Linked DNA regions of Canis lupus familiaris. The protein of the gene in region 1 purifies or fractionates together with the protein of each later gene. This does not show direct contact. Links are inferred from orthologs where the notes say so. Each region holds a gene or a part of one and is shown in the gene's direction. Other genes may lie near its edges.

What was found.
Region 2: the proteins of CKS2 (region 1) and CCNA2 purify together in Homo sapiens (affinity purification with mass spectrometry; 3 studies listed by BioGRID and IntAct, counting the BioPlex papers as one, with this or other methods). This does not show direct contact. The link is inferred for Canis lupus familiaris from reciprocal best matches to the Homo sapiens genes CKS2 and CCNA2.

Annotation. Positions count from the first base shown.
Region 1 is NC_049222.1:97,648,194-97,652,550, reverse strand, and holds the start of CKS2 (cyclin-dependent kinases regulatory subunit 2), read left to right. Parts: upstream 1-1,259; 5' UTR 1,260-1,669; intron 1,670-2,027; exon of another isoform or gene 2,028-2,200; 5' UTR 2,201-2,477; coding exon 2,478-2,536; exon of another isoform or gene 2,537-2,619; intron 2,620-4,357. UniProt on the Homo sapiens protein: Binds to the catalytic subunit of the cyclin dependent kinases and is essential for their biological function.
Region 2 is NC_049240.1:19,143,238-19,147,704, forward strand, and holds the start of CCNA2 (cyclin-A2), read left to right. Parts: upstream 1-1,402; 5' UTR 1,403-1,687; coding exon 1,688-1,900; intron 1,901-2,676; coding exon 2,677-2,920; intron 2,921-4,366; coding exon 4,367-4,467. UniProt on the Homo sapiens protein: Cyclin which controls both the G1/S and the G2/M transition phases of the cell cycle. Functions through the formation of specific serine/threonine protein kinase holoenzyme complexes with the cyclin-dependent protein kinases CDK1 or CDK2.

The DNA of each region.
Region 1 (4,357 bases):
ATCACACACTTCGTCGTACTTCTTACACATGGAATGGCTGTCTAAAATCTCTTCCATTGACACAGTGAATAGATGCTTTTCATACAATATGCACATTCAGAATTTCAACTTGTTTGGAGCAGACACTGTTGGTCAAGGAGGGCTTTGCAGCTCCACTGCTTTTATCCACCTTGCCTTCTTCATGCGATAATGTGGAGGCTCAGAAGGGACAATGAAGAAATGCTTATGCCACATTGTAGTGCCTCCCAGGCAGGCACTGTCATCACTGGAGCAGCAGAATCAGTGCCGTCCCCAGGGAGGAAGCCTCTCCAAGCACGCTGCTGGGCTCCGTGACTGGATGTGGACCACACGGGGCTACTTTTACCATTAGCCTGTCAGTGGGCTGCTGCCAGGATAGGGCGCCTGCTCTCATCCTATCAAGTGCCATGTCTTTCTCACTGAGCCCCTCTGCCACATCTCGCCTGACCGGCCCCACACTCATCAAAATGACCACATTTAATAGGAAGAAGTCTGGAATCCCTTCCTAGTCTGGCCCAATTTACCACTCGTTTCCAGCTGCTGGGTCGTGTTTTGTTTGCTTTTTACACATCACAACAGACTCAGTGCCTTAAAACAACACAAATTTATTATCTGACAGTTCTAGAGGTCAGAAGTAACTTGGTCACATCTGCCAAGTCCAGGCAACACATCTCCAGGTTCCAGGGATCAGGACATGGACATCTCTGGGGGCTGTTTTGAGGTCTGTGACATCCATCCTCCCGGATTCATTTCCCACAACGCTCCTTCCCGTGTCCTGTGCACTCTGTCCCCGGCATATGCCATATTGTTAAGATAAGCGACAGCACACAGTAGCAGTTAAGGGGCCTAACTGCGGACTCAGACTGTTGGGGCTCGAGTCTGCAGCCCGCCACTTGCTAAATGGATCTGGACAAATAGCTGTTGCTGTGGTTTTAACCTAGATTACAAGGAAAAGTAAATTAGACCACAAGGAGCCAGTATTCCACAGACGCCGATGGCCTGGTGTTTTGGATGAATCCCTATTATAAAGGGTGGTGTGTGCGTGGGTGGGGAGGGCATCGCTTAAAAGAGTAAAAGAGACAATAACCGAACCGGACGCGTAGGCCCACGTTTGGATGTGGGTTCACCAGCCGCCGCGAGGCCCTGCGAGGCCGGGTGACCTGAACGCAGGCGCGAGCGGGGGGCCGCGAGGGGCTGAGGGCTGAGGCGCAAGCGCGGCTCGGAGCTGAGCACTTTTAAAGTTCTTCTGGAGACGCACTCCGTGAACGCGGAGGCCTGCACAAGCGCCCTTTCAAAGCGGGAGGACCCCGTATCCGGGATCTCTTCGGACGTGGGGTGTGCAGGAGGAAGCGAGACGGCCACAGCGGGAGCTGCGGAAGCCGGTGACCGGCACCGGGAGCTGACGCTACCCGACTCGTCCGCCTGAAGCTTTCAACACCGCTCCGCAGAACACATCCCGGAAGCTCTTCTTTCCCGGGCTCTGCCACAAAGCCCGTGGTGCCCCTCCCCACCTCCCGGAACAATCGCCCACATCTTCGCCCTCGGCACATCCTGCCCTGGACCTGGACCTGGACCGGGCGGGGGCGGGGGCGGGGGCGGCAGGCTCGGAGCCCGGGCGGCGCGGGGAGCCGGTCCCGCCCCCCGGCAGCAGGTAGGTGGCCCGCCCCGAGGCACCTGTGCCTGCGGGGACCCCCCTCCCCCGCCCCGCCCCGCCCTAAAGGCCCCCAGTTCCTGCACGTGGCTCCCGCCCGCCGCCTGCGGGGCGCCTCGGACCCGCACCCACGGGCCGCCCGCTCCGCTCGACTTGGCTCCCGACCGCGCCGCCCAAGGTCTTCCTTCCCACGCCCGCCCACCTGCCGCGGCCGCCGCTACCTCCCGCACCCCGAGGCCAGGCCCCGCGGCGGAGAGCACCCCCTCCCTCCCCCTCGACACCGAGACTGCGCCTGCGCGGAGACGGCCGCACGTCGTGCAGCCCCGCCCGCACCTCGCCAAACCCCGCGATACTTCACCTTTCCCTCAGGTCCGCCCTCCCCAACGGCCTGGCTGACCTGGAACGTTCTAAACCCCTGCGCACGCGCTCTGAGGCCCTTAACGTCCGGGCTCCGCCCTCCCCTGGCCACGCCCCTTCCCGTCTGGGAGCTACCCGTCGCCACGCCTTGCCAATCATCCACTTCTTCCCCAGGGCGACCCCGCAACAGGTCTCTGATTGGCTGGTCGGGGGAGACAACGCCGAGGAGGGTCGGTGACGATAGGCTGGGAGCCGGTTCCGCCTACTGGCAGTTTGCGTGGAAGGTGATTGGCTGGCGCCTCCGTCCAATCAGCGGTGGGCTGTCGGATTCAAACCGGGATCGTTGGGCCTGCGGTCGGTTGGTCGCAGTCGAGTCGTTGCTTCGGCCTGACGCGGACGTGTGGCCCGCTGCGCCCGCTCTTCGCGCCCCGTCGCTCCCGCCGCCCGCACGATGGCCCACAAGCAGATCTACTACTCGGACAAGTACTTCGACGAGCACTACGAGTACCGGTGAGCACTACGAGAACCGGCCTCGGCCGCGAGGCTGGGCGGAACCGGAACCGGGGTCGGCGTCGGCGTCGGCGTCGGGGTCGCAGCGCGCCGGCGGGGGTTCGGGTCGGGCCCGAGGGCGGCGGGCGGCGGGGCACCAGGGCCCCGGGGCGTGCGGACCGGCGTCCCCGCGTCCCCCGCCCTTTGTTCGCGGTGGCCGGGCGGGGCCGGGGCTGTGGGGCCCGCTCCCTCCCTCTCCGCTGCGCCCTGGGGGGCTGCCGCGGCGTCGGAGCGCGGCCCGGCGGCTGGGGGTAGGCGCGGCTGGACCCGGCGCCGGCCCCTGGGGGGGAGACGGGCGGGGCGGGGTGGGACTGGGTGGGGCGGGGCGGGGCCGGGGGAGGCGGGGGGCACGCTGCGGGCGGGGGCGGGGGCGGGGGCGGGGCCGTGCCGTGGAGCCCCGGGCCAGGCTGCGCGGAGGGTCCGGGCGGAGAGCGGCCCCTCGGGGAGTGTTCCCGGAAGCGTGGCATGACCCGGGCCGGATTTCCGGTCTCCGAGACCGGGTCCCCGCGCGGGGTCTCGGGACAGGAGCGTCGGCCTGAGGCCCGCGGCCCTCGGGGGAGCGTGTGTCCTGAGTTGCCCCGGGCGCGCCCGTCACGTGGACACCGTCCCCGGCGTAGTTGGGGAGCGGCGGCCCCGCGGAGGGAACAGGGGGGCTGAGGGTGTGCTGCCGGCGGACAGCGACGTGGAAGGCAGAAATGAGGCCGTTCACGGGGCATCTCAAGGAAACGTGCACAACACGTAACCACCAGTCAGGCTTTGCGTCAGAGGATGACGTCAGTAATTAGTGTTGGGGGGTCGGGTGTTACGTATAGGTTTTCAACTGTTTGAGGGGTCAGGGCCCCCAACCCCGTGGTGGTCAAGGGTCAACTGTAGTTCACTGGAATTGGTAGAAATAGCATAATTCGATTTGGAGGTCTCAGGGCAGATTTAAAAACATGGTGGTAGTTCCAAGGCTCACTGCTTCTGTGAATAATACGTACGGGTATGTAGTTCACTCGTCACCGAGAATGTAAGCTGATGACCGTCTCAGTGTTTATGTGTAAGGAGTTCAGTTTTCTGACAGAAAATGTGACTGACCAGATTCCCCTTCTCTCCCCCCCCCCCCCCCCCCAGCCAACTGACCCACAGCTAGATATTTCATACTGGTCAAAAATTTTGGTTAGTGTCGAGAACTCCATAACTTCATATTGCCACTGGGAATAGTAAAACTGGGTTTGGGAATTGTGATTGATAAAGGCCTTTTTACTGCAATTAAGAGGGATGCAGACTTGTCTTTCAGAATTTACGAAGTTATAGTTGTACACGTACAATGTATACGTACATTGAAAAGAACATCTTTTCCTTAAAATAACAAAGTTTTGGACATAAGTCGTTTGGATAGAAGTCAGTAACTTCTGAAAAAAGTCTTTGGGGATGCCTGGATGGCTCAGCGGTTTTGCCCCCCGCCTTCCGCCCAGGGCGTGATCCTGGAGTCCCAGGATCCAGTCCTACAGCCCGCTCCCGACAGGGAGCCTGCTTCTCCCTCTGTGTCTCTGCCTCTCTGTGTCTCATGAATAAATAAAAATTAAGTCTTTGAGGTGGTTAGGTACACCTATATTTGTGGGACTTGAGTTTTTTACTTTGTATCTGAACAAAGCAACTTGTACAGTATACAGGACTCGTATCTACTATAAATCTATAATGTTGAGTAGTGGGACACCCAAATTAACAAATTAGATATTTTGGGGGCACCTGGGTGCCTCAGTTATGTGTCTGCCTTGGGTTCTGGTCATGATCTCGGGG
Region 2 (4,467 bases), on another chromosome or scaffold:
GCAGAGGCAGAGGGAGAAGCAGGCTCCATGCAGGGAGCCTGATGTGCGACTGGATCCCTGGTCTCCAGGATCACACTCTGGGCCGGAAGGCAGCGCTAAACCACTGAACCACCCAGGGATCCCCCAATTTGCAACTGATTTCACTCTTGCTAGGTAATGTTTTGTGACCCGTGCTCAGTTTGTGAGCTTGAGTATGCTCAGTGCTATAAATTTTGGCCAGGGAAATGAGCAGAGCTGCACAGATTGAAGGGATCTTCACTTGCTGTCCTATAACCAGTAGAACTGTACAAGGCTACTACATGTGAATAGTGCAGAAATAGTGATGGCCTCTTAGATTTTCCTGCACTAGTGTCCACTGACTTGTTTTATCATGTAGAGAGGGAAATAAGACTTTAAAGCTACAGAAGTTTTATTCACTAATGTTAATTCATGTTTCTTCATACTCAGGAGAATATTGTGTTTGAAGATTGTTTTAAAATGGCGTAAAGATTATATAATCATGTTTTTAAGAAGGGCATCCTCATGAATTTGTCAGAAAACAAGGTCTCTTAATTCTTTACCATTATATTAATATATGCAAGCCTTGTTTATTAAATCTGAGAACTTGTTAAAGGCACATATCACTGAGAGTTTTATTTTAAAAGGTCATGTTGTTTTTATTTAAACAGCCTTCATTGCCAAATGGAACAAAATTCTGTATCTATGTCACTAGAAATTTCACTGGGTGCTTTTTGTTGGCTGGCACAGCTGGGAAAAGCATCAAAATTAGTGACTGTCTAGTTGAGTTTCTTCCAGTACATTACTATTTGTTTATATATATGTATCAACAGTAGTTAAGGTAGCACCTACCTAATCACATCTTCATGAGGTGAATTCGGAAGCATGACTGAAGAAACCCCTAAATGATACATGACAGTACAGTCCACACTCGAGGATCAGTAAGCAAGCATGTTAATGATTTACGCACATTACATAATCACAACAGCCATACGACATGTAGCATTTTACCCCCAATTAATAGATGAGAACACTGAGAATCAGAGACGTGTCATCACGGGGCCCGCCTACCAGGCCGGTTCGCGGCTGGGTCGGATCCGAGCTTGGGAGACCAGTCAGTCCAGCCAACTGAGGGCCCCACGGCCAGCGTTAGGCAGGCGCGGCCACTAACAATTGCTGGGGTTTGACTCCGTCGGTCCTAGAGACAGCCGCGGCCCAGCACCCTCGGGTCACCAAGTGGCCCAGTTTAGTCACTAGAAGTTCAGGCCCCGCCTCTTTGGCCGGCGCAGGCGTTTTCCCTCCCGCCGCCTTTCGGCGTTTCTCCGCCCCCGCTCCGTGGCCTTCACGGCTTCCTTCATTTGTCTGCGACCGTGTCGCCTTGAGTGACGTCAGGGGCATCGGCCCTTCCCATTGGCCCATTTCAATAGTCGCGGGATACTTGAACTGCACGAACAGCCGCCGCTCCGGCGGGCTGCTCGCTACATCTCGGGGGCGTCTTGAGCCCTCCACGCCCGGCAGTTCCTGCCTGAGCCTTTCGCAACGTCCTCGGAGCTGCGCGATCCCGAGCGAGCAGGCTGGCCCGGACTGCCGCGGGCGGCTGCGGCTGGAGCGTTTCTCGGCGGGGTCGGCGGGACGCAGTACACGCTGCTTGGCGCCGCAGGCTGATCCCGCCGCGACCCGGGGAGCAGTGATGTTGGGCAGCTCGGAGCCTGGGCCTGAGGCCCGCGAGGCGGGCTCGTCGCTGCTAACGTTGCAGCATACGGCGCTCCAAGAGGACCAGGAGAACATCAACCCCGAGAAGGCGGCGCCCGCCCAGCAGCCCCGGACCCGGGCCGGGTTGGCGGTCCTGAAGGCCGGGAACCAGCGCGTCCCAGCGCCGCAGCAGAGGCCCAAGACACGGCGGGTAAAGAGATGAACGATATCTGCAGGCGAGGAGGGCCGAGCGGGAGTTTTGCACGAGGTTTGAGCAGGCCGGGGAGCGTGGCGAGAAAGCATCTTCCGAGCTGTTGTAAGGGAGGCCTGGGTCTGCAGTCCCCTTGATGCCTAGTGTTCTGGCGCGGGGGATGCCACGTAAATCTTTCCCATAGCTCTCTTCGCCAGCGCTGTGTGTTTTGCTCCCTGTCTGCTCTTTATTTGGTATATTTTCCGATAGAATATGAGGGTCAGACCGAGCACCACGACGTATGTCCGCGCTTTCTTCGCCGCTTTAAACCCCAGGCACTGCCCTAGGATCTGGACCCCCTTCCTGCTCGCCATTTGGTTAAGATTACCTTTACTTTAGGAAAGAGTATAAAAAATAATTTTTTTTTACTAAATTCCGCCATTTTACCGGATTTGCTCTGTTGCTCCACCCTGGGGCCAAAGCGGTGAACCAACACCTCTTTGCCGGCTCTCCTAAACTTGTCATCATTCAGCCTGCTACCCCACTCCTCTTGTGGCCTTGATTAGTTTTGCATAAATGCATTTAGTGTGATTCTATAACTTATGTAGAAATGCCGCTAACGAACTTGAACATCCCTTTCTTCAGCTATTCAAACTTTACTGCCTGGATTTTGTCCCAGATAGTTTAATTTCCTTAGAGTATTTGGGAGTGAAAACAGAAACTGAGAACCGTAAGGGGAAGAAAGCAAGCAGAACTCCATTTAATAGGCTCAAAGCTAGCTATTCATTTCTTTTTAGGTTGCACCTCTTAAGGATCTTCCTATAAATGATGAACAAGTCACTATTCCTCCCTGGAAAGCAAACAGTAAACAGCCTGCATTTACCATTCATGTGGATGAAACAGAAGAAGAGACTCAGAAGAGGCCAGCTGAATCTAAAAAAACAGAACATGAAAATGTCCTGGCTTTTAATTCAGCTATTACTCTACCTGGACCAAGAAAACCGCTGGTACCTCTTGATTATCCAATGGATGGTAGTTTTGGTAAGTTTTAAAGAACATCTGTATCAAATCAATGTAATCCTAAAGTGATTATGGATTAATGATAGTTTCATTTTAAGACATTATTTTACCTGACCCTTACTATATAATGAATTTGGTGTAATGTAACAAAGTTTAGAAAGGGTATGATTCATCTCCGATCTCACAGCTCATACATTGACCTAGTGACCTATAAATCCTAACTGGGTGCTCCTTCCTTCCCATATTACTGCCAATCACATCAATTTAATTAGATCTCAAACCCTTATTTTAATCTGACCCTGGAAATATTTGCCTGCTTGGGAGAATAGATTTGAACCGTATTCATAAACTCACTGTGTACATACCACTTACGAGAGTATTTGAATAGGATACAGCTTTCAATATTGTGATATCTAACATCTCTTACAGCTTAAAATTTTCTGTAAATCCAGTCTGATACCAGAGAGGGACACTGTCCTCCTGTGAGGCAAGAGTTGAATCATGACTGCAGCTAACCACATATAAAATGAAGTAGCTGCTATAAAGCAAGCTCTGCCAACAGTTTATGCGTGCAACTTCTTTACCATACATAGATAGGTCTGTTGAGTCACTGGATAATTCATTCGTTTCATCTCATTTAGGTTTTAGTTCTGAGAAGTGGTCTGGGAATAGCAGGAAAATCCTTTGGAAATAAAGTAATTTTTGTATTTTTCTTGAAAATTTATAACAAACTTTAACCTTACAATGAAACTTGAAAAGAGTAATGAATGATATTCTTTGCCTCAAAAAGTAATTTAAAATTACAAAACATGAAACATTTGGTGATTATAGTGTTAATTTGTTTGAATTGCTCATAACAAACCTAATTTTAATTAACATTAACCCTGCTTTTAGTTATTGCTACATTGTTCTTTGAATATGTCAGACTTTGGGGTCAGCACTCTTAAGGTAAATACTACATAATACCACAAAACTTGGATTTTAACTGTCTTTGCAGAATCACTGTGCCATTTGCTCTTCTCTCATGGAATATGATTGATACTTAAACATAATAATACATTTTCAAGCACACTCTTTTAGTGGCCTAGCAGTATTTTCTCTTGTTGATTAAAACCAAGTGGACTGGGGATCCCTGGGTGGCTCAGCGGTTTAGCGCCAGCCTTGGGCCCAGGGTGTGATCCTGGAGTCCCGGGATCGAGTCGCGCGTCAGGCTCCCTGCATGGAGCCTGCTTCTTCCTCTGCCTGTGTCTCTGCCTCTCTCTGTCTCTCATGAATAAATACATACTTAAAAAAAAAGTGGACTGAGGTACTAAAACCAGAGTGAAATATTGTTTCTTTGCCATGAGAAGCCCTTTTTAATTGGATGAAATAAATGCTTTTGAATGGGATGCCTTACAAAGCCAATCAGTTTGACTGTTAATTAGAAAATTAAACTATGAACTTAATCATACTTTTATATCCTCCCAGAGTCACCACATACTATGGACATATCAATTGTATTAGAAGATGAAAAGCCATTGAGTGTCAATGAAGTTCCAGACTACCATGAGGACATTCACACATACCTT